4 linked regions of the Drosophila melanogaster genome follow. The protein of the gene in region 3 interacts with the protein of the main gene of each other region in a pairwise test. Each region holds a gene or a part of one and is shown on either strand. Other genes may lie near its edges. The genes, in order: stac, PIG-S, CG5359 and Rabex-5.

The links.
Region 1: the proteins of CG5359 (region 3) and stac interact in a two-hybrid assay, tested with the Drosophila melanogaster proteins (one large-scale study listed by BioGRID).
Region 2: the proteins of CG5359 (region 3) and PIG-S interact in a two-hybrid assay, tested with the Drosophila melanogaster proteins (one large-scale study listed by BioGRID).
Region 4: the proteins of CG5359 (region 3) and Rabex-5 interact in a two-hybrid assay, tested with the Drosophila melanogaster proteins (one large-scale study listed by BioGRID).

Annotation. Positions count from the first base shown.
Region 1 is NT_033777.3:25,055,404-25,063,033, forward strand, and holds the start of stac (staccato), read left to right. Parts: upstream 1-1,615; 5' UTR 1,616-1,696; coding exon 1,697-1,779; intron 1,780-2,221; coding exon 2,222-2,501; intron 2,502-3,677; exon of another isoform or gene 3,678-3,866; coding exon of another isoform or gene 3,867-4,154; intron 4,155-4,805; coding exon 4,806-5,146; intron 5,147-5,209; coding exon 5,210-5,257; intron 5,258-5,556; coding exon 5,557-5,716; intron 5,717-5,780; coding exon 5,781-6,601; intron 6,602-6,667; coding exon 6,668-6,882; intron 6,883-6,939; coding exon 6,940-7,217; intron 7,218-7,274; coding exon 7,275-7,365; intron 7,366-7,429; coding exon 7,430-7,503; intron 7,504-7,562; coding exon 7,563-7,630. Other genes in the region: CG31111 (uncharacterized protein), read right to left, coding at 1-481, 632-694. UniProt on the Drosophila melanogaster protein: Essential for tracheal development in embryos. Functions with the GTPase Rab39 and downstream of dnd, to regulate lumen fusion between previously separate tracheal branches (anastomosis).
Region 2 is NT_033777.3:24,912,692-24,919,562, forward strand, and holds PIG-S (phosphatidylinositol glycan anchor biosynthesis class S), read right to left. Parts: upstream 5,174-6,871; 5' UTR 5,073-5,173; coding exon 5,018-5,072; intron 4,819-5,017; coding exon of another isoform or gene 3,263-4,818; exon of another isoform or gene 3,149-3,262; intron 3,045-3,148; coding exon 2,954-3,044; intron 2,896-2,953; coding exon 2,756-2,895; intron 2,700-2,755; coding exon 2,502-2,699; intron 2,441-2,501; exon of another isoform or gene 2,369-2,440; intron 2,215-2,368; exon of another isoform or gene 2,143-2,214; intron 2,010-2,142; coding exon 1,815-2,009; intron 1,754-1,814; coding exon 1,136-1,753; intron 995-1,135; exon of another isoform or gene 891-994; coding exon 577-890; 3' UTR 525-576; downstream 1-524. Other genes in the region: sud1 (sudestada1), read right to left, coding at 3,263-4,818, 5,018-5,072; CG11168 (uncharacterized protein), read left to right, coding at 5,961-6,064, 6,126-6,871.
Region 3 is NT_033777.3:9,999,247-10,002,844, forward strand, and holds CG5359 (uncharacterized protein), read right to left. Parts: upstream 2,031-3,598; 5' UTR 1,956-2,030; coding exon 1,694-1,955; intron 1,636-1,693; coding exon 1,376-1,635; 3' UTR 1,327-1,375; exon of another isoform or gene 1,260-1,326; intron 1,123-1,259; 3' UTR 1,069-1,122; coding exon of another isoform or gene 932-1,068; 3' UTR 780-931; coding exon of another isoform or gene 652-779; 3' UTR 598-651; coding exon of another isoform or gene 590-597; 3' UTR 525-589; downstream 1-524. Other genes in the region: Spn85F (serpin 85F), read left to right, coding at 1-515, 590-597, 652-779, 932-1,068; Mical (molecule interacting with CasL), read right to left, coding at 3,189-3,194, 3,252-3,448, 3,507-3,598.
Region 4 is NT_037436.4:1,294,235-1,299,030, reverse strand, and holds Rabex-5 (Rabaptin-5-associated exchange factor for Rab5), read right to left. Parts: upstream 3,119-4,796; 5' UTR 3,006-3,118; coding exon 2,852-3,005; intron 2,767-2,851; coding exon 2,563-2,766; intron 2,509-2,562; coding exon 2,196-2,508; intron 2,123-2,195; coding exon 703-2,122; 3' UTR 534-702; downstream 1-533. Other genes in the region: scf (supercoiling factor), read right to left, coding at 1-305; CG32333 (uncharacterized protein), read right to left, coding at 4,746-4,796.

The sequences.
Region 1 (7,630 bases), about 15 Mb from region 3:
CATCCAGATCATTGTCGGGTATTATTTGGAACTGAGGAATCCCGGCGTTATTTAAAATCTTACATGTGAACACACACTTCTTGCGCGGATCCTTGGGATGGGCGTAGATTCGTGTGGCCACATATCCCACGGGATATATCCAGCTCTCAGTGTGAAAATTGGGATTCACTGATATAATCTCGCCCAGTGAGTGGAGTAATACATTATTTAGGTTCATCGGAAACATGGGCTTCTTTTTCCGTACAATTGTAACATTTTTTGGCTTATCTTCGACGGGGTTCTTATGCGAAACTACAGGACTGTATTTCTTTGTGGTTTCAGCGGCGTCGTTTTTTCCATTCGAGACACTGGGTCGTCCACTGTTGGATTTCTCCAAGCCCTCGTGAAACATGAGGCGCTCTATCAAGTAAAGTCTTTGGGATCGGGTCACAGATAGTTCGGCCTGCAGACGACAGATCTCATCCGTGAGGGCGGCGTTCTCCTGAAATTGGTATTATAAAGTTAATAGATCATATAACTTCCCGTAAATGTTTTATGCTATAATGTAAACATATATGTGAGTAGGAATCTTAAGGTTTCTTGTAAATACTCTTAAGTTTGCATAACTTCGCCCTAGTTTCTAAGATCTTACCAGTAGATAACTCTTGACGGAGCGTTTTAAGCTCTCGTAGCGCCGCTTATACTTTAAATTCATTGCTTTTTAATTTATAATTTCAGCAAAAACAAGAGATACGATTTGTTTGTTGTTATTGCCGTGGGTTTGTTATGATTATCGGACTGCAGGGCTGCCATTCGTAAGTTATCGAAATACGGTATTCGGTAGATTCATTTATGTTGGTATATCTTACATACCAAATTAATAAACAAAACTGATCTAATCTAATCTTTGTTTATTTTAAAAGATATAAATAAAGTTTTAAAGGGTGCGAAAAAAACAAACGGAGACGTTAATTCGAATTGAAATTAAGGAAATTCCTAATGGATTTGCAAATCCTCTTAGCCTAATTCAATCTGGCATTCTGACCTTGCAAAGGACTTAATCATGTTAAAAAGTTACTTCCGGCGCTCGGAATTAAGGATATTTGAAAAAATAAGGTATGTTTTTAAAGTAGTTAAATAGTTGCGCACATAATTTAGCTTGGCATCTGAAAATGTGCCTTAAAGTGCGTAGTTTGACCATGGAAGCACCAGTCTGCAAAGGTAGTTACAAGAATACCAACACCTAGCCCTTCAAGAGTATATGTACATAAACAGGTGTGCGTGAGGCTTACCACCATTAGAACCATTGATGATTGGTAACTTCTTAATGGATTTTCATTCAACAATTTCAAGAGTTACAAACTATAAGTTTTTAAAATCATTAGCATGAGAGCTAGAAAAAACGTCCGATCACCATGGCAACAGGTGTCTGTCTGTATGTATCATCCCGTTCCTTCCCATTTCCCCACTTTCGCCCAATGTTAGATACTACAAACATCCATAGCTCATTATAATGTGTTTGCGATAGTGTAGGGAAGAGCGTGTGAATACCACTGAGAAAAATCTACGTCGGAGAGCAGCTTTGGCAATGAATCACATCGTTTGTTCGTTTCGGTTTCGGTGCAAATAAGCCGTTAGTATGTTTCTACACTCCGGTGACACTTGTTGGATTCCGATTTCGATTCAGTGCCTCTGAAGCTAAAAACGCAACATCACAATGGACGAGGAGCAGATGTGGAAGGGCTTCTTCTTCAAGTTGCAGGAGCTCAAAATGAATCCACCCACGGAGCATGAACACCAGTAAGTTGGATGAATAAAATACAGACTCACGCATACCTGTAGAAAACTTGAAAACTCACCGATAGACAAACATTTGTTCGCCAGACGAGCCGAAATGTGTGTTTCTATTTCTCTAGACAAATATGAACATTTTGGAGAACTGGAACTGTGTCATCAGATAAATTAAAGATTATCAAGTGAAATTAACGTGTGTGCGTGAGGAATGGCAAGTGATGTAAGGGAGTGGGGGAAGCCACAGATCGATTTTACCACCCACTCGCAACTAAAACATGACTCAGTTTTAGGGTATTTTTCACTGGGCTTTCAAATACATCTACATAAGCTTGCTCATAGTACGAGTATCCCTAATCGAAATGAAATCCCCATTAAGTGATGACTAGCCAGTGCAGATAATATTTAATGACTTTTTTCGAATTATTTACTAATTGCACTTTTTCCGCAGACTGCAAGACGGAGATGATGGATTTTTCGAAAAGTTTGGATCCCTACTGCGGCAGAAGTCCCAAATCGATGAGGGCGTCCTCAAAAGTTCACTGGCTCCCTTGGAGGAAAATGGCAGCGGCGGAGAAGAAGATTCGGACGAGAGTCCCGATGGCACTTTGCAACTCAGCCAGGATTCGGAGTGCACCAGCATCGATACCTTTGCCACCGAGAGTACACTGGCGTCCAGTTCGGACAAGGATATCAGCACTTCAGTTCTGGACTCGGCGCCAGTGATGAATGTAAGTTTTGTAATTGAGAAATCAGTGCTGTGAATCAGGTTGACAAAGCCATTAAAAGGTCACAACGAATCAGACAATCAAACTGCATTCCAACTGGTGCAACTAATAGAGCTCCAGCTTATACTAAACGTAACCTATAGTTTAATCATAAGATTACTAAATTATTTATTTAATTTAGTATCTTACATACTCCCAAATGCGTACGTTAAGAGATTTTTCATATTTATACATGTGATTCATACGAGCTCTTGTGAATTCGTAAAACTCAGTTTAAGGATGATTTATGGTTTAATCCGCCCTAATATATATATACATATATATTCATGATAGAGTATTGATAATCGCCGCTTTACGAACTCGTTTTGAATTGTTGGGTTAGTATGCACTGTAGCTTTTAGGATTCGAGTGAAAGTACATCAAGATAAAGCTCCGTCATTCAGTTTGGGTTTTACCAGGTCGACTCCCAAACTAGCTATCCACCATGGTGGGTATTGGTGAATATGGATGGCTTTTGAGCCTGGTCACATTCACGTCATGTGTAATTCCTAGGCCCGACTACCGAGGAAGTTGCGACATAGGTCAGTTTTCCAGTTTGCAGCGCGGCGTAACGATCGCCTACGAGTTAATTCAATGTTTTATCTTGTGCCAACATTTTGCTGTTCGCATGTTTGCCGTCTGGGCAGGTGTAGTTTAATTGAACAGAAACCGAAAATGAAGTCGTGTCCATAGAAACGAAACGCTTGCACAATAAACAAAAGAACTTGCCTATATAGTCGGACTGTATAAACAAACCGAATAATGTATACTGACAGCATAAACAAGCACTGCAGAACATGCAAACATTGAAGAACCCTAGAGCGGCCAATTGAAGGGAGGCGGGGAGAAAGCTTAATGTACTTTAGAAAATACATTTTTCATTACCACCTTGAGCTTTTCCTTTTTGTATCCGAAAATAGACCATTTTCTCTTAAGATTGCTTTATTATTGCTCACAAACACTTGGCCATCATCGTGTACATACGAGTATGCACAAATACACCAAGCAATCTGAATCGAATTGAGCGCATACACTTTTTATCTCATGGTCAACGTCAAGATATTTCGGATATCGCAAAGATTTCCCACACCGGACGCTATTGTACTTAGCTACAGACTCTTCTCCGAAGCGGTTGTGTCCAGTCGGTGTTCCTGAGTCCGTGGGTGTCCACGATCTGTCCACCAGCGCATCCGATCGTGCTCGATAATATGTGCGTCTATATCGAATTGTATATTTGCCAGAGAGTATTTGCCAAAAATTTCAATTTCGCTTGCACCTAGAGAAAAACATTGAAAAAGTGGAGTGATCGGTTAGTGGCTGGGTTCGATCATGAGCTACCTATCGCTACCACGTGTTCTGAGCAAGTTCGGCTCCCAAAACCACAGTTCGTCTAACCAAAGTTCGAAAACCAATAGCCTAACTAGATCCAGTACGCGCACCGGATGCGACGAAATCAGACTGCCGCGGAAGGCATCCTCCACCCAGTCGCTCAACAAACCATTCGAGCGACGGATGAGCATACTGAATCGGAATGGAAGCATTTCCAGTCGACACTTCCGTGGTGTCCACAAGCATTTACTTGATTCCCATGCCAAGGCGGTCTGCCACTCGATGACCGTAAGTAGAGAACGAAGTTTGGATGCTATATCTAGATATGGATATATCTGTAATCCATAATGAACTGATCTTAAGAATATCCGAGGGAATCGGTTCATCAGTGCCTCGGTAAACAAAAGCGATTGTATAAGTTCATTGATTTGGCATAATTGTTGAGTCACTCGAGTTAAGTGCACAGAGTATTTCAGTGCTTAAATACATATATTTATGTACTTGTTTTTTTTTTGCCAAAATCATAATTGAAAATTATGTAAAGTGTAGCTAGAAGATACCAAAAAAAAAATCAGCGAAAATGTGAACATTCTAAGAAGTTTATTGATTCGAATTTGGAGCTAAGTCAATATTTATGTTAGTGGATAGTTTATGGGAATGATAAAACATTTCACTGTAGCGAGCATCCAGTAGATACTTATATAGAATGTATCTAAGCAAACATGACCTCAGCTGGGTCTGTTTTTCCAATTTCCCTGCGAAGATTTGTTTATATTTCCGTATTCTGGAATTTGTCGATATTTACTTAGGCTTTGACCTTTAGAGAAGTGACTTATTTCTATTTTTGCTCAAAGAAATTAAAATACTTCACCGATTAGATGGTTTATAAATGTCGCCTGCGTTTTGGGATTAAACTAATTGTTGCCTTTGCTTTTGCAGGTCACAGATCTCTATGAAGAGATATTATTTGAAATTTTCAACAACATTGGCTGTGAAAACAACGAAGAGTGCACAAACAGTTTGGTCGAATTCGTGCAGGATGCATTCAAAATTCCGAACGCCACTCATGAGGAAATTTATGAGGCGGCGCGACTGAAAGAACCGCCCAATGTTAGACTAAATGTCGAGATTATAAAGGCCGAGAACCTCATGTCCAAGGACTCAAACGGCTTGTCCGATCCGTTTGTTACCCTGTACTTGGAATCGAATGGCTCCCATCGATACAACTCATCGGTCAAGCCTGCCACATTGAATCCCATATGGGAGGAGCACTTTTCACTGTGAGTCTTGATTATTTCGTATAAAAACTGATATATATTTGTTAATGTTTATTTTCTTGCTAGGCCAATTACTGAAAATGCTCGAGACGAAGTTCTTATCGTTGAAGTGTGGTAAGTGTGACTTTGTTTGCATATTGAACTCATATAACGCACTCATAAAACCTACGTTATCTGGCTGATAACGTTTCTTGAACTCTAAATTGCACTTATCGCGGATCAATAGGTTTATGGTCTGAAACTAACTAACTCGAAGGTATGGCATCTTAAAAACTCATCATTCTTTTTGAAATATGTTTGAGTAGTTAAAGTAAAGTACGTTGTGTTAGTTTTATAACATTAGAATTTCATGCTAGAATCCCATTTATCTATTTTAACGCATGATTCCCATTTAATATTTTACCTTTTTTCAGGGACTTTGATGCTGCGGAAACCGTCAAGGAAAAAGTCAACAAAATCCTGGATGTTAAGGGTGTGAAAGGACTTAGCAAGCTGATGAAGGAAATTGCTGTAACAGCTTCCTCGGGAAAACATGATAATGAACTGATTGGGAGAGCTGCAATTACATTGAAGGTAGGAAAAGATCTAATATTATCAAAGATCTTAACACTAAAAAAAAAACACACATATCCTTCAGTCTATTCCCGTTTCCGGCCTCACCGTATGGTATAACCTGGAAAAGGGAAGCAAGGGACGCAGTCGAGGATCACTTCTGGTTAATCTGGCCTTGAGTGCGGAGAAGAACAAAAGTGTCGCCGTTCAGGAGCACAAGAACCTACTGAAACTGCTCCTGATGTACGAGCTGGAAACCTCGCAGGTGGCCAACTACTGGTGGAGCGGCAAGTTCAGTCCCAATGCCGAACTCATTCGATCCCAGCATGCTGCCCAGAGTGGGCTAACTCCTTTCGACTGTGCGCTCAGCCAGTGGCACGCGTACAGCACCATCCATGAGACGCACAAACTCAATTTCACACTATTCAATTCAATTCTGGACGTGGTGGTGCCAGTGATTACTTACATGCAGAACGACTCCGAGGATGTGAAAACATTCTGGGATGGCGTGAAACGACTGCTTCCCTCGTGCTTCGCAGTGCTAAGGAAACTAAGATCCAAAAACACCAGTGATAAAAACATAATTAGAGCTCTGAACGAAGTTCTGGATATTCTAAAGAAGATTAAGGAGCTGGAAGTGCCGGAGAGTGTAGACATATTCCCCAAATCGGTGTATGGTTGGCTACACACAAACGACACTGATGAAACGTGCAATATTGATACTGCCATTGAGGATGCTATCAACACGGGGACAAGGGAATGGCTGGAGCACATAGTGGAGGGCAGCAGGCAATCTAAGAACACCGAAACCGATGACGAAAAGCTGCAGTACGTCATTAAACTGATACAAATGGTGCGGTCTGACCTGCAACGTGCAATGGAATACTTCGATAAAATCTTTTACCAGTAAGTTTTACAATTGTGCATCGATGAATCAATCAATCATTTATTATTTACCTTGTTCATTTCCAGCAAAATTCAGCTTAACTATTCCGCTGTACTTTATTTATTTTATGACTCCAAGCTTGCTGAAATCTGTAAATCGATTATAATAGAAGTGTGCAATAATATTAAGAGATTGGATGTGCCAGACGATCAATTCGAATATTTACCCAACCTTGAGAATGTAAATATGGGCACGACTTTGTTTGAAGTCTATTTAATACTCAAACGTTACGTTCAATTAGGTAAAGTACTGAAGTCCTCACTCTTAGCAAATCACTAATTGATTTTTCTGTTTACAGGAGAATCTCTTTGCTCCGAGCCCCTGGAACTGTCCAACTTTTACCCGTGGTTCGAGAGGGGAGTTACCCACTGGCTGGATATTTCAATAATTAAGGCATTGAGTCGCATCCAGAAAGCAATTGATTTGGATCAGCTGAAAGCGGTCGATGAAACAGTGAAATACAGCTCCTCGGCAGTGGACACACTTTCCATATTCTACCAAATCAAGATATTTTGGCAACAACTTGACTGGCCAGAGGTCGAGGGTTCCTACATCTTCGTAGCCAAAATCGTCAATGTGAGATTGAATACAAATATAGTTATGTTATCTTTACTAATTATTATAATTTTACAGGATCTTTGTCGCTGCTGCATATTTTATGCCCAACAGATGTCCCGCAGAGTTGAGAATATTTTTATTGCTGATGATAACAATAAAAATTTCAGTAAGTTCTATTGGAAACCATTTTTTATCATATATTGTTTGTATTGAATTTATTTATTTTATAGTTTTGTCGGAGGAGTGGTGCATAGCGATAAACAACATGGATTACATCCGGCAGAGCTTACCTTCATTCATAAAGGTAGAGGTTTTATTTACCTAAATCAAACAAATTTATTGAAAACAAATAATTTATTTCAGGAACTTAGCATTGATGACATTATCAAGAGATTGGGGGAGTATCGAACTAACTTAGAGGCTGAGAGATG
Region 2 (6,871 bases), about 15 Mb from region 3:
AGCAAGTAATTATAATCGGTAAGTGATATTTTGAAATCAGTCGGAAACAAGACTTATTGGCAATATATGACTCACCCACCGACTGCGTGTCTGGCTGGCCTCCTGCCACGTCTGACATTCATCCGGCAGCGATCTCGCCGCTGAACCTGACCTATACGCGCCGTTCACACGCTGAGCGGACCGTGCTGGTCCGCCAGCAGCCAAGGCATCAAAATACAGCACTCCCAACGTTGAAAACTTTGGGAAAGATTAGTGGCACGTGGACTTGTTTTCAAAGCATTCAACTCTCTATGACAGATCAAAATTTTTGAGTTTTAAATCCATTTCCACCAGGTTTCTTTAAGATCTCATAGACCAAAATGTTGGCACGAATAATTTCTACCTACTTGTTATGCGCGGCAGTCTACAGTTTGAATATGCTGGAATACTATAGAACTGGCAAATCTAATCGACCGCGAGGCCCTGACGATGACATGTTCTACGTAAAACCGAAGTGAACCAATAAATCGCACCAGTAACAGCTTATAAAGAAAATATTGTTTTAATGAGGGATGATACTATTTGGTTATGGTTCGTTTACGACTGCTTCTCCTTCCGTCTGGCCTGCAGCACACCACGCAGCATGTTGAAGGAACTCAGTACAGGCACCATGATGGGCAAGAAGAGTGGAATGTAGATGGCGTACTTCTGCTCGTCCGGGAAGTACAACTGCGCCAGCAGGCTGGCGTCAAAGAATCCGCGCTCCGAGGCCACGAACGCACGCTTGGCCAGCACCGAAGCGTCCGCCAGTCGGTGCTCCAAAAGAGCAGCCTTGGCAGCCAAGATGTCGGCATAGGAATTTGTAATGGCGGCACCCACCTCGTCGTCTATCACAATGTAGCTGATTTGATCTAAACGAGAGGAGGAAGCGATTATTAAATAATATTGTCCAATTAAGGTGGTTATTAAACTTCTCAAGCAGTACAGATTCAATAAAAATAGCGTCAACCATTTTAAAAGCTACTTAATTATAAAGCGGAAATTGCAAATAGTTCATTTTTAATTGTCGAAGAGCCCTGAGTTTTGTATAATATCAGAAATAGGAATAATAAAAATGTTGACTAAACATCCTTCATTGGTATCTTTAAAAACGTACCCAACAGTTTGATGAGGCTCTGGAGCGTGCTGCTTGCTGTGGATATGTGTCGAATGGCACTGCGTCTTAGGTATGCTTCATACTCCCAGCGACGTGGCTCCAGTTGCTCGATATCCACCACCTTAACGCCCTCCATCTGAAGCTCACTGCTGATGTCGAGCAGCTTGTGCAGCTGGTCCAGCATCACCTGCATGTTGTCCGTGGTGCTGACATGGTAGGGAACTGCCTCCTGATCGCTCATGGCCGCAAGGCACACATGCTCTGGCGGATTAGCAATGATGAAGCCACCCCAGGGTGGCGAAATGAAGGCATCCACGTCGTTCCGCGTCAGCCGCTGATCCTTGCTGTTGTAGATGTGAAGCGGAGCGATGTGGCACGGTGGAATGTACACCACCAGGTTGATGGCCGGCTTGTCGGTGGTGCTGGCGCTTAGATTCTGGGCAATCGATGTCAGCAGATGAGGCAGAGCGGTTTCCTGGAGGGCGTAGTGTCGCCCCAATTTGCTCTGGTCGCGCACCTGCTTGAGATCAGCCTCGATGGCCACCCGGTACTTCCACTGCGATCGCACCGTGTAATTGGAAACACCGGACACCTTAGCCAACCAGGGCTCAATGTAAGCTATTGAAAATGTAAATTGGCATAAGTAAGTGAAGACTTTTTGTGGTTTTTCAATACTTACTCTTCACAGCCATTGCTATGTTCCACTTGGCATGGGTGAGTCTCGGTTTCGGATTCAGGACAGAGACAATCACATCGTAGGCTGGTTGCGGAGCTTCCGACTTGGCGCCCATCCGCTCATCGGTACTTAAAATTTGATTTATGCGATACGTCTGCAGGATCTTGGCGTGCAGGAGCTGGGCGATTTTGTTGGAAGCTAGGAGGTGTTAAAACAGCATTATTAGTTTAGCTAACTAATCTTTAATTTACTAGAGTAATTTTAGCTTAGTCCTTGAAATTTTAAGGAAAGGGTTTCATTGGGCATTAAAAGTATTCGAAAGCATTCGTAATCCTCGATAGTATAGTGGTTAGTATCCCCGCCTGTCACGCGGGAGACCGGGGTTCAATTCCCCGTCGGGGAGACCGATAAAATATATATTTCTTTTTAAAACCGCATTATCATGTAAATAATAAATTATGCGCTATACTTCTACTTTTAGAATTATTTCAATAATAGAAGGTGAAGTAACAGACAATAAAAGATTTGAAAAAAAAAAAAAAATGAAAATCTCATTTCTCCCAGACGGGGAATTGAACCCCGGTCTCCCGCGTGACAGGCGGGGATACTAACCACTATACTATCGAGGACCTTAAAAACTTCGGACATAAAAAGCCAACAAGTGTTTCCGTATCATTGCAATAGACTCACGTGTATCACTTCGCATCAGTGCCGATCTTTCGGTGGTTAGTAGCAGCTCCTCCTGCAGTTTGGGCCACTCGATGAACATGAAGTCGCCAACGCTCTGGACATGGTTCTCCAGCAACAGCTTCTCCAGAGCAGCTGGCGTGTGTGCTTCCTGGGTCATTGGCGTAGGAGATAGCTGCTTGAATTCCACAGACCATATTTCTAATGGGAAATGCATGCCGTTTAGAAATATGAATGGATAATGAATTTGCACCTACCATTGTCGCTGAAGGCGTTCTGCAGTTCGGCGATGAGCAACTGGCCACGACTGGTCTGTTGTGTGTAGATGGCCACCTGCACAGCCGTTTTGATCGGAATTTTACTCAGACTCAAAATTTCCGTCGAGGGCAAATTGACTCTGCGATTGCAACATTTAGGTATAATTGGAAAAACGCCGCCAGACATGGTTGACTCACCTGTAGACTGTGGTGGTGCGCCACCACATGGGCACGCCAATTCCAATGATGACCACGATAAATGCTAGTGTAGCCCCGATCCGGAACTTATCTGTAAAGTTAAAGAGAAGTGTTTGATTAGTTCCTGATTTATCGCGGTCGTAAGCGTTCTTTGGGTTCACACTTTATTACTTCGACAAAAAACTATAATATTTTGATTTGTGTTTTATAAAGTTTATTATGTAAATTAGTTTCTGTACAGGAGAACGGTATGAATGTTAATAGTCCTTGACGAGTAATTGTGCGCATGTTGTGAAACAGGATCACATGCTACTCCTTGTAGCTGCACGAAATAACAAAAACAGGTCCCTTTTCAAGGGGCGTGTTGCGCGACACGTATTTGGTGAACTTGGTGGTGCCCTCGCACCGGTATACTATGTTCAGGGCGTTGTCCACCGGCGTGATAGTAAGCAGAACGGAATCGTCCTCTTCCTCGTCATCGTAGTCCGATCGCCTTCCGTCCGTCGGTGCTTTTGCTGTTGGCATTTCGGCGTCGGGTGCGAGGTATGTGATCACCGCTGCTCCTTCTGCCGCGTTCAGGTAGTAAACCAGGTCCAAAGTGTTCTCCTCGCTGGTCAAACCGTCGCCCAGCACTGTGTAGTTGCCGTGGGACCAGCGCTGCAGTTCCACGCTGCATGTTGGACTTTCGGCATCGGTGCCTGCCAAATCCAGATCGGTGAAATCTCGCAGCAAATCAAACATGGCGTGGCTACGGAACAGTTGCAGTAGTTCCAGTATGGTGCCTCTGGCTGTTGTCAAATCCAGCACTTCATAGTTGTGTGCGTTTGCGGGTCCCTGTCTTCGCCACTTCAAGGTATCCGAATCGGCCAACAGCTGCGACCGGGCCAATTCGAATTTCTCTCGCTTGAAGAACTCGTATAAACAAATCTCGGAGTTTTCTTCGATCCGCTTTTGGATGCTCCGGCGGGTGGCCCCCTTTAGATACACGTTGTTTAGAAACAGGCCAAGCGGTGGCCTATTAAGGCCATCAGGTTGCAGGTAATTCAGGCGGGGAAAGGCGCGCAGGGAGTCGGCCACGAAGGCCTCATTGGTATCGCCGTGGAACCATCCGTTTATGGTAAGACGCGGGTAGTCGAATGTAGTAACCTCGCCTACTTGGTGGAAGGAGCGCGAGCCCACCTTGAAGAAGGCAAACTGGTTGTCTTTGGGGGCGATCTTTCGCTGCACTGGAAACTGTGGAAAGCACTGATCGTCGCTACCGAAGATCTCTAGGCATCCGCCCTGCTCATCCGTCCATTCCTCCGCTCCTTCCCAAGGCGATAGATAGTAAATGAAGGCCACTTGTCGGTCCTTAAGCAGATCGTCGTGCACGAGCAGATAGTCGCCGCAGGTGTACATGCTGCAGGAGGCGGACACATAGTCCAGCTTGAGGTTGGTAACCTTCTCCAGCCAGGGACGCACTTGTTTGCGCAGCACCTGCAGGAAGTTGGTCAACAGTCGGCAAGCGGGCATGTTGGAGAGGTCGGCGCTCTGGTAGAACTCATACAAATCCATCTGTTTGCGCGACCACTGCACCTTCTGGATGATCTCGGCGACCAGCGCCTGGCTTTGGCCCTTCTCCAGCATGCCGGGCAGAAGGCAGATTTGAAAGGGATCCGAGAAGACCTGAGCACCGGTTTGCGTCTCCTTGGTCCCTTGGCTCTTCTCCTCCGTCCAGGCTGTTTGGAGCCACTTGGTAAGTTCCGGTTGCTGATACGCCTCGTTCAGGAGCACTTCGTTCGTTTCAAGGATGTCGCCCAGGCGCAAAAGCTTCCTGTGCGGCTCGCCCACCTGATCTGCGGAATCCTCCTGCTCTGCACGACCATCTGCAAGGGCAACATAGTGAATGGGTTTGCATTAAGCGAGGCAAACAGGGGCATACCTTAAACTTTAATTTGGCTATTTTTTACGCACACCAGCACTCACACACGCGTTATCAAAGGCAAAGGCAAAATCAAAGGCACCGATGTGCCGGCACACCTCGCTTTATCGTTTTGGGGCAGATTTCTCACTGTTTCCACTTACCTTCGTCCTTGTCTTTTCTCCTGGGCTTTACTGGACTGGAGCTCGAGGTTTCCATGATGCTGTGAGTCAAATTTTCGGTTAAAAACGTGAATTTTTGCCAGGGAAAATAAAAAAATTGGCTTGTGCAGCTAGAGATGGTAGCTCGGAAATATCGGTTGTTCTGTGCAAGTGTTGGGTAGTTAGCTTATTCCACGCAGTATCAAATACCTAGCTAAAGTTTAGTAGCTAAAAACTTTTGGCATTATATTGTAAACAATAAAGGGCGTATATAAGTAATAATATATAATATAATAATATATTGAAGGCATTCAGCATTAGCATTCAACTCACTAATCACACTTTCATTTTATACTGATCATCACTGATTGTACGTGAGTGTCGTGTGTTTCGTCGTCGCCTCACGCCTCCATCCCTAGCCAATTAGTAACGAACAATTGCTCGATCGGCTCCACGTAAATAAAGTTTAGATCACAGCTTTGTTGATTGCTTATCGCGGTGGCAAATATAGTTATTCGTTTATGGCTGTAAACTTTCGAAACGGACGTGGACATAGCCGGTAAATTAAAACTTGAAGATAAAACCTAGCTGGTGACAAAGAAATTCCAATTGGAGCAGTCCAATGCCGTGGAATGACCTTGGAAGAGGCGGAGCCACCATTCAGCCCTCCATATTATAAACAAAAATACTATTGTGGAATGTTCACAGCTATTTTGTATAAAAAAAATATTTGGCTATCAGTCTGTGCGTGCTAGGGCCAAACAGCTGATTCCGCCTGGCTGCCACCTGATTTGTTGGGGGTGTGAGTGGGGCTGGGGCTGTGGTATTCTGTATGCTCGCGATGATCTCATTGTGTTGGAATCGGAGCAAAAGCTAAACTAAACAACTTGACATGTGTTCTTCTGCTCCTGTGTAGCTACCTAGTGTTGGAGGATACGGAGGAGCAATGGGCAAGGATCAGCATTTGCTGGAGGCTTCGCGAGCCGGCGACATCAAGACGGTGGACAAACTGCTGGAGCACTCGAGCAAACGACATGGCCCGCTGTCCAGGTGAGTCACCAGCAGCAACTGTTGTTATTCCAGGTAGTTTACTACAGGTTTTCCTTTACAGTTTTAGGCGAAGTCCCAGCATCAACTGCCAGGACATGAATGGCTACACTTCGCTGCATCACGCCTGTCTAAATGGGCATAGCAACATTGTACGGCTACTACTCTCCCACAACGCGCTGTTGGATGTGCCTGATATACGTGGCTCGACACCTTTATTTCTGGCTGCCTGGGCTGGGCACCAGGACATCGTCAAGATGCTGTTGATGCACTCGCCTACGGGAGCCAATCCGAATGCCCAGACTATCGAAAACGAGACGCCGCTGCACTCAGGCGCCCAACATGGCCACAATGCCGTGGTGGCCATTTTGCTGTCCTATGGCGCCGATCCTGCCATACGCAACAATAGCTTTCAAACGGCTCTGGATTTGGCAGCGCAATTCGGACGCCTTCAGGTGGTTCAGACCTTGCTCCGTGTTTATCCCGACCTCATATTGCCGTATAAGCGTTTGGAAGATGACAATGAAGAGCTGCTGGGCTGCATGCCCATAAAGCACATATTCACGCACACCTGCCTGCACCTGGCCAGCAGGAATGGGCACAAGAAGGTGGTGGAAACACTGCTGGCGGCCGGCGTCGATGTCAACATACTCACCAACGCTGGAAGCGCTCTCCACGAGGCGGCTCTCTGTGGCAAAAAGTCCGTTGTGGTCACTCTGCTTAAGGCCGGTATCTACGTACACGCCACCGATGGAAACGGACGCACAGCCCTGGACATACTCTCCGATTATCCGCCGCATGTGACCTACG
Region 3 (3,598 bases):
AGCGTCATGCGATACCAGCATACAAGGATCTGGATGCAAATCTCTTTCTGACCCTCTTCAATCCGCACACGCATGTCCCGCACCACCCGCTGCACTTTCCGCCGCCAGTGCCCGCTGCCTTTGCACCCATCACGAATGATTTTGAGCCACACTATATCGGAGAGGCGGCCGAGGGAAAGTCCAACTATAACACGGATGTGATCAGCCACGTATTCTACTTGGGCAATCAACAGGTGGTGCACACCACCTTCAAGGTATATAACGCAGTGCTGTACTACAAGTACTTTGAGCACCTGAAGATGAGCGTGCTGGAGTTGGAATTGGACACACCGGAGTACAACCTAATGATCCTGTTGCCCGACTACCACACGGATATTGTTGCAGCCGCCGCCTCCTTGAAACTGGGACCAACCCTTCGACTGATGCGGAAGCAGTTGAAGCCACGCTGGGTGCAAGCCATCATTCCAGATTTCAAGCTGCACGGCACCATGTTTTTGACAAACGACTTGCAGAATGTATGTATTCATTTGTAGAGTGCATTTTTGTGTTTTTATTGAGGTGTCTTTGGTTTTTGTGCTCTCTGTTGCAGATGGGAATGTAAGCATGGGTGTAATAGCTCCAGTTCCTGGCTTCATTTTACTTTCGTTGCAGCTGCGACGTATTCGAACCAAATCGCGCCGATTTCAGGCCCATGACTGAGGAGAAGGGCGTCTACGTGCGACACATTGAGCAATCCATAGACGTCACCATCCGTACGCATCCCATCAATCAGCTGAAGCGTAAGTGTCTCGCATTGCAGCACACCTGAATGGAATGGAGTGGAGGCATTGAGCCGCAACGCATTGCGAATGCCCAACCTAATGGTGTTGCAACAGTTGCAGCCTCTGCAACACGAGACAAAGTGCAATAAACACTTCCTTTTACTCTCTAGGCAACTACGGCGCCCAATCGAAGCCCATTCAGATCTCTGTGAATCATCCGTTTCTGTTTTTCATCGTCGATCGCGACTTGGACGTGGCTGTGATGTCGGGCCGCATACTGAATCCGCTGAACGTACGCATCCAATGAAGCACGACGAAGGTCGACTATCGAAAGTGATGAACCCTTTGTTCCCGGTGCCTACTAATACGAGATGTTAGCATTGCTTAGATTAAAATGTAAATATACGGGGGTGTCACGAGACTCTGGGCAGATGAAATTTGAATGGAAGTAAAGAAACTTCATACTTAAAATTATCATTAAATTAAACAACATTTGTTGAATATTTTATCTATATAATATTTTTAGAAAACACATCTCGTGACAACCCATTTAATGTAAGCTCACCCCATTAAAGTATAATCCTTAGTCTAACTAGTTCTGTGGGAAATCGGTTTTAGTACTGATACGTTCCAAACACTGTACAGACGCAAAAGAGACTGGTGTTGCTGAAGACCTCGGAGACGGAAGTGTCGCAGTCGCAATCCCAGCAGCAGCGCGAGTTGTAAGTGGCCCCCGCACCCAGCTCCTGGCCTAGCATCACCTGGACCACGTGCTTGTACCGCTTCACCAGGGAGCTGCTGGCTATCTGCTGGTTCACCTCGTCGGCGATCTCACTGGTCCACTTCTTGGCGACGTCCTTGTCATAGGTTTTGTCTTCAAATAGTGAAGTTGCTAGGCAACGCGCAGTATATTTATGGATTTTCACACTAACCTTTGAGTTTCTCGGCCATAACGTTGTTCATTATGCTCTTGATGGTGGGCAGGGGAAACATCTCCCCAAAGGCCGGTCGCATGCTATAGGCGGTGGGCTGGTCGCCGGGCTTTTCCGACTTTTCTTGATTTTCCAAACCATCGGCTGAGCCGGAGTGCAGACTTCCTGACGCCGACTTTTCCGACTTCCTATCCGCTGGGTTGGGCACTGTTAAAGTCTGGACGGATTTGGTTGTTTCCTCAGTGGACTGTTTGTCAGCCATCTTTTGTCAAATTCAGCGTAATTCCCTTTCAAAGTGTTTAAGAAAGCACCAAGAAAATCTTGGTTGCTATGTTTGTTTACTTATTGCTAGTGTTACCAGATGGTAAAATGGCTTTCCCGCCAATCCCTAATTGTCAGTCACCACGAATAACCGAACTTATTTGGTGTGGCCACTTTATAACAACGAAGTGTGGCACCTCTTTCATTTTCTGGATAATTTAAATTTATAATACGCGCCAATATTTTATGTGCGTCAAGTTAGCGTCGATGGCGGAATTTCCCCATTAAAGAACATTTCTTTAAGGACATTTAAGGAAAACTTCACGATAAAGTAGAACTATAAAATCGTCCTTAGGTTTCATAAAATCTTTATTCAATTCAAAATAAATCGAAAAGTTACATAATAAATTCGATAAATATGTTTTTATATATGCAGGTTATAAATAAAGTTACGCAATAATTTAAATGATTTCGTTAGTATACAGTTAATGGTTGCTTTCTCGCTTACATCGCTATGTGTAGGCTCTCGCATTTAGAAAATATTTGTGTGCATCTCTTTGTGTTCACTTTGATTTCGATTGGGGGCAAATGACATAATACATACATGGGTGTGCTGATCGGGAGGATGTGCGGAAGGTGCTTTGTCAAATAAATAATAATACACTCAAACGGTTTACATAGAAATCGACAAACAATCGCTAAGTGAAAATAACCTAAGAAAACTCAAATACACCATTTACATTTGCTCAAAATCACATACCCTTTGCACACGCTCACTACATTACATTAAATAAAAACACAACATATTGCATAGGACATACAAAAATCAGACAGATTTCAGTGGCAACGACTAACAAAACGTACAATTAGGTCGAATACGAAACTAAAGGTATTCGCAAAAACATTCGTAATCCCTACTTTTAAATTGCGAAATTAGTTTTTTGGTTTTGATTTCATCTCTGCCTGTTTTTACATTAACCTTGCGCGCTTCTCCCATATTAGTTAGGCTCTCTACTTATATAAATATTGAAATTGTTCTTAGCCAGCTTATCCACTTTGAATAGTTAGTTGCTCGTTTCGGTTACAGCTCACGGGTTTTAGTATTGTTAATTCTGTATATTCAGCTGCCTTTTTGGTACGCTCTCCCCTGTTCCCTTGTTTCATCTTAAGTATTTAGGCTCAACAGTCCATGCACCACTTCGCAGACCAGCAATCTCCAGGGAAAGTTGGCTATTCAAATCTGAAACAAGTGGTGTTGTCAATTTCAAATTTAAACATATAGGTCCTATTTACTCACGATCGATTCTTCGTGGTCATGCGGTTGTCCCGTCAGCTTAATGCCCGTTGCCTCGGCGGACGTGGATGCTGATCCCGCTGCCGTGAGGTCGAGCTGGGAGGCTGTGGGTCGTAGGGCGGCTCGCTTGGCGACAATTTCCAGCATCTCGTTGAGAATTGCTCCCTCGGCGGCCACATCGGCAGAGCTTTTGTCCAGTTCTGCAATGATGGAATTAAATATTATATCAAAGTTTTGAGAGGAAACTATAACACTCACTGTTGCAGGACAAGCGCAGATTGAGCTCTTCCTTCAGCTGGGCATGCCGATACTCCAGTTGCAGTTCCTGTTGCCTTATAGTCAGTTCCTCA
Region 4 (4,796 bases), on a different chromosome or scaffold from region 3:
TTTAGCTCCGCCAATGTGACTGACCCGTCCTTGTTCTCGTCGATTCGGTCCACAATGACGCCCAATCTCCGCCTGCTCTCCTCGGGTGTCAGGCTGTCGAACTTCTTGGACTCGTCCGGGCCCAAGAAGGCTTCGTGGTCAAACTGGGCATTGTGCTCGCCCCCGTCGAAGTGCCTGGGGTGCAGGGGGTCGTGCTCGAGCGGATTGTGGGGCAGCTCTTCCGGTATGCTGGAGGCACTTGCTCCACTTATCACCGCCGTCAGCGCAACAACAAGTAGCAGCATCTGAATTCGGGTTCTAGCCATTTCTCGTGAGCGCTCACGTCCGTTCGGTTCGGCAGGCAAACTGAGAATAAATCGTGTGTGATTGAGATATTTCGAAAACAACAATCTCTCTTGTTACTTTTCTAGTGCTGCCAGATTATTGGATAAGTGATGCCCAGTTGGCGGGACTTTTGAAAATCATGCAATTACCCCTGGGAAAGAAATTAAACTTAGTTAACCGTTTATTGTAAAAAACAATACAACTTGTGTATGTGTTAGATTGCATTTATTAAACGTCCTTTCTGTAAAGCTAGTTAAATATGGTACAAATAAATATGTGCAGAAATTTGAATTGAAGCGTTGGGCTAACTACAATATTTCACTTAAACTTATTTACATTCACACAGCTGCAGGATTCAGTGACCCAGTGAACAAACGTTTATTTGGGAGCATCCGCGCCGTCCTGTCCCAGAGAACTAAAGTCTCCCGTGTTGCACGAGATGCTGGGAATATCGAAGTTTGAGAAGCCCCGGTAGTTGGACACCTCGGGCTTCAGAGGGGATGGAAGCAGGACAGCTGTGCCGGGCACTTCGCTATCTATAAGGCTATCCGTTGTGCTATCCAGCAGACTGGTCTCCGGCAGAGGCGGCGGTGGCTTGGCAACTAGGCCCTTCTGCGCCAAGGGGTCGAATTCGTCGAGATTCAGCTTTGACTCGTCCGCAGTGCTGTTTTCCCCACTTTGATCCGACAAGTCGAAGTCGTAGTTGATATTGGTCAGGCCTCCTTGAAACTCGGAGCCCAGCATGAGTACGTCTGTGTTCGCATCGGGCACAGGCTCCTCCAAGAGCGAGACGGCATCAAACGCGGTGTAGTTAAAGATTGGAGAGGCGAAGAGGTGATCGGCTGGCTGAACGTTCTGCTGAAGTGGCGACAGACGGCCCATCGAACTCATGCTGGTATCCTTAAGGGACAATCCAGATTCTTTAGACGCCGCTGCGGGCTTTACCAACCCACCGGCTGCTGTCAGCGACTGGGAGGTCAATGAGCCGCCGTGCAGCATATTCGCTTGATAATGACCAGCCTCGCTTTCGTTGAGAAGGTGCGCCCTGGCTTGACCAATCAGAAAAGCGGGTGTTTTGATGGGCAGCAGGTTGAGTGGGGCCTTGGCAATCACGGTGTCTACTCGTTCCGTCACCTCTCTTTGGAAATCGATAAGCTCTTTTTCAAATGAAGTTATTCCAGAGCTTATCAGGGCGTTCCTTTTCTGCAGCATCTCCATTCGCTTCATGTTCTCGGATATCAGGTGAAGGCTCTCGCAGGCCAACAGGGCACTTTCCCAGGGCGTGCTGTAGGGCTGCTGTCCGGACATCAGAGCCTCGAACTCCTCGCTGCTGACGCCCAGACTCTCGCCATTCAGATTCTCTATGAAGGCGATGGCGGAGCACAGATTGGTAAAGTAGTAGCCACTCTCGCCGCTCATCAGCCGCGAAGCGTTTGTGAAGCGCGTAACGAAGTTGATGTTGCTGTGCAGTCGCACTGGATTTGCCTTAAGCACGACGAATATTAGGGCGGGTAGGAAGTCATCCGCACTGGCGGGTCCTCCAGTTGCCCGCTTCAGAAGCTCAAAGATGTGCCTACAGCAGCGCCAAGTGCACTGCAGCTTCTCCTGCGGCGAATAGTACGAATCTATGCCCACCAGCTCGGATATAGCATTGTAAACCAGATCCCTGGCCTCCGAGTTGACCTCGTCGATGCTGCAGTCCAGATGCTTGGCCGTAATCCAGCTCAGCTGGCGTATCCGCTTCTGCACCTTCACGTCACTGTCCTCATCGGTAGTGAAATAGGGACTGAAGAGAAATCTGCAAAAAAAAAAAAAGAGTTTCCCAGATAAAAATATGTACTCCTCTGATATCAACGTTCCGCTTGACTCACTTGTGGTTCTGCGTCATCACCACTTTCTCAAAGAAGTCAATGGCACTATCGCGATCCTCGTTGGTGGCTATCTCGAAGCTGGGATCGTTGTGCACAATGTCTGAGACTTTGGTGTAGGCGTTTTGAACCAAATCTGATAGTTCGTTGATGTTTTTGCCGCCATTTCCGTTCATATACTTGCGGATGTCGCTGTCCAAACGCTGGATTTCAAGCTTGAGTTTCCGCTTGCCATCGTCGGGAATGCGAAGTTGCCGCAATTGCAGTAGGAACTGGCCCTCCGTGGGATCCGGCACATGACCACGCTGTTGGGTAACTAAGGAATATCCAAGTATAAGCATTTAAAGGCAGTGTGGCTATGCAATATTACTTTTTTGGGCTCCCGCCTGCAGAGTTTTTTGCAGCACAGCGGTAAACTTTTTCTTTTGCAGGGTTCCCAAGTTGTCCTGCTCCTTGTCCGACGGCTTCCTGACCTGCTGCTCCACTTTTCCCTGGAGGTGCGCATGCTGTGGCGATCGGCGATCCAAGGTGGCGACCGAGGAAGAGGATCCAGGACCCGTCTCGCCACCCGTCTCTGTAAAGAACCACTTCATGACTCAACGCTCATCGGCTTTGGAGTTATATGCAAGCATTGTCTGGGGACCTACGCTTCAACTTACGCTTCAACTTCCGCTGCTTATCATTAAACTTTTCTCGGAAGCACATCGAGCACAATCCTTCGTTTTGGGGGGTTCCGTAAAACCCGCATCCTGAACGGCACTTGAGGTCCTGCTGGCCCAGCCGCAAAGACGGAGGTCGCGCCGCCGTTGACATCTCGGAGGTGTGGCTATAAAAATACAGCTCCCTTATCTGTGGGAGTCCCTTTGTTGCTTATTGTTTTCGTGACTGAATTGTGGAGATAAATAATTCTACTGCTGCCAGCGTTGCCAGATGGTCTTTTATCCAGTGGTGGGACATCGCTCAGAAAGTTAGAGATGAGCTGGTTCGCCGGCTTTAAGTAGCCGCCCATCGAATGGAACTAGTTCGCTTCGTACAAGGGGGATTTCCCTCTTTTGAATATAATTTTGATAAAAAAGAACGTAGTTCGCATATGACCTGTAAACCCACATACAATTAAAACACTATTCAGTTATGTTCCACTAAAATTGGATTTTAGCATATTTTATTCGTAAAGAAAATATTTAAACTGCAACTTAGGGAAATTTGCACAATTAGATCGAATACATGTAGTAAAATCGTGGTGTCCTAGGGAACATTTCAACACACATTCAATTCTTAGATGCACACAAACATTTTTAAAACCAGTTACACACGTATATCGACATAGCAAGTTGATAAAGTAGTAACATTTAGGACGGTTATACACGTAAAAAGAATGCATTTCTGGAAGGGTCGCTAATGGTAGTAGTTCACAACAGCAATTGGAAAAAGCTCAGAAAACACAGAGTTATGGCTTAGACTAGACTATAAATTTGCAAAGTTTTTTGTCCTAACTGCTCTACGCTACGTTACCGATCTTGTTCCCCAATGAAAAGTTTAAATCTGCAAACAAACCTTTGCATCGTCCAGCTCTCCTCGTAATTGACGATCCAATAATGCACTCAACTACTAACAACTCGACTAGTTCAACACTACCTCTACTTTATCTCTAGTTCTTCTAAATTTGTTCTCTCGTCTAGCAGTAAAAAGATTTGGAAAAAACCATTTTGTCTCTGTTTGTGTTTTGATTAGTCTTAAAAATTGCTAATACTATTTCGCTACTGTCATCAAAATGCAACCTTGCCTTGCCGTGCTCAACTACTATCGATAGTTTACGTATACTTAACATGATCGTTCTTGTTTTCGTTCACTTCCCATTTGCAATTCAACCGTTTCGAAAAAGTCTCGTGTATAGTTTTGAACTGGAATTTAACACTACTTATGATGTCTTTGGCTTTTGTTTTTGCTTTGTATGCGTTCAACTCTTACAGCTAACAATGTAATTATCTTTAACGCGTGTGTTTCAACATTATGCTGACTTTGGTTTTGGTTATAGGTTTTTGATTAAACATTCTTTGGTTTTTGATTTGTTCGTATCTGAGTGTATTCAATTCGCTACAAAAGAGTTGCATTTGTAAAAAATTCAAGTCTAACGATTTGCTTCAATAAATTCCTTGTTCCAATCGCTGATCAATTGGAATTATTTGGCTGATCTGATGACTGTGGTTCTTATTTTGTCTTCGAATTATGTATGAGTACCCTGTGTATTCAAAAGTTCGGCGTATAAAACAGAAAGTACAGCAAGTTAGAAATTGTAAGTTTCAAAAAGAATATGTCTTAACTTTCCATATATACAGTTATACAAACAAAACTCTTGACAAAACGAAGAAACAAAATGAAACATATGACTTTTAAACTATACAAACATGCTGTAATTAAATACTTATAAGAAAATAATCTTTTTTTTTTTTAATTTTATCAAATTGGTAGTTGAATCTTCCGACTGTGTTTAGTACTTGATTAATTCGCTAGGACTCTTCTAAAGACATTTCAGACATTTCTTCAGTGCCCTGGTTAACTGAAGTACTTCAGTCCTGCGATCAGCATAAACTTCTCAATAAACAA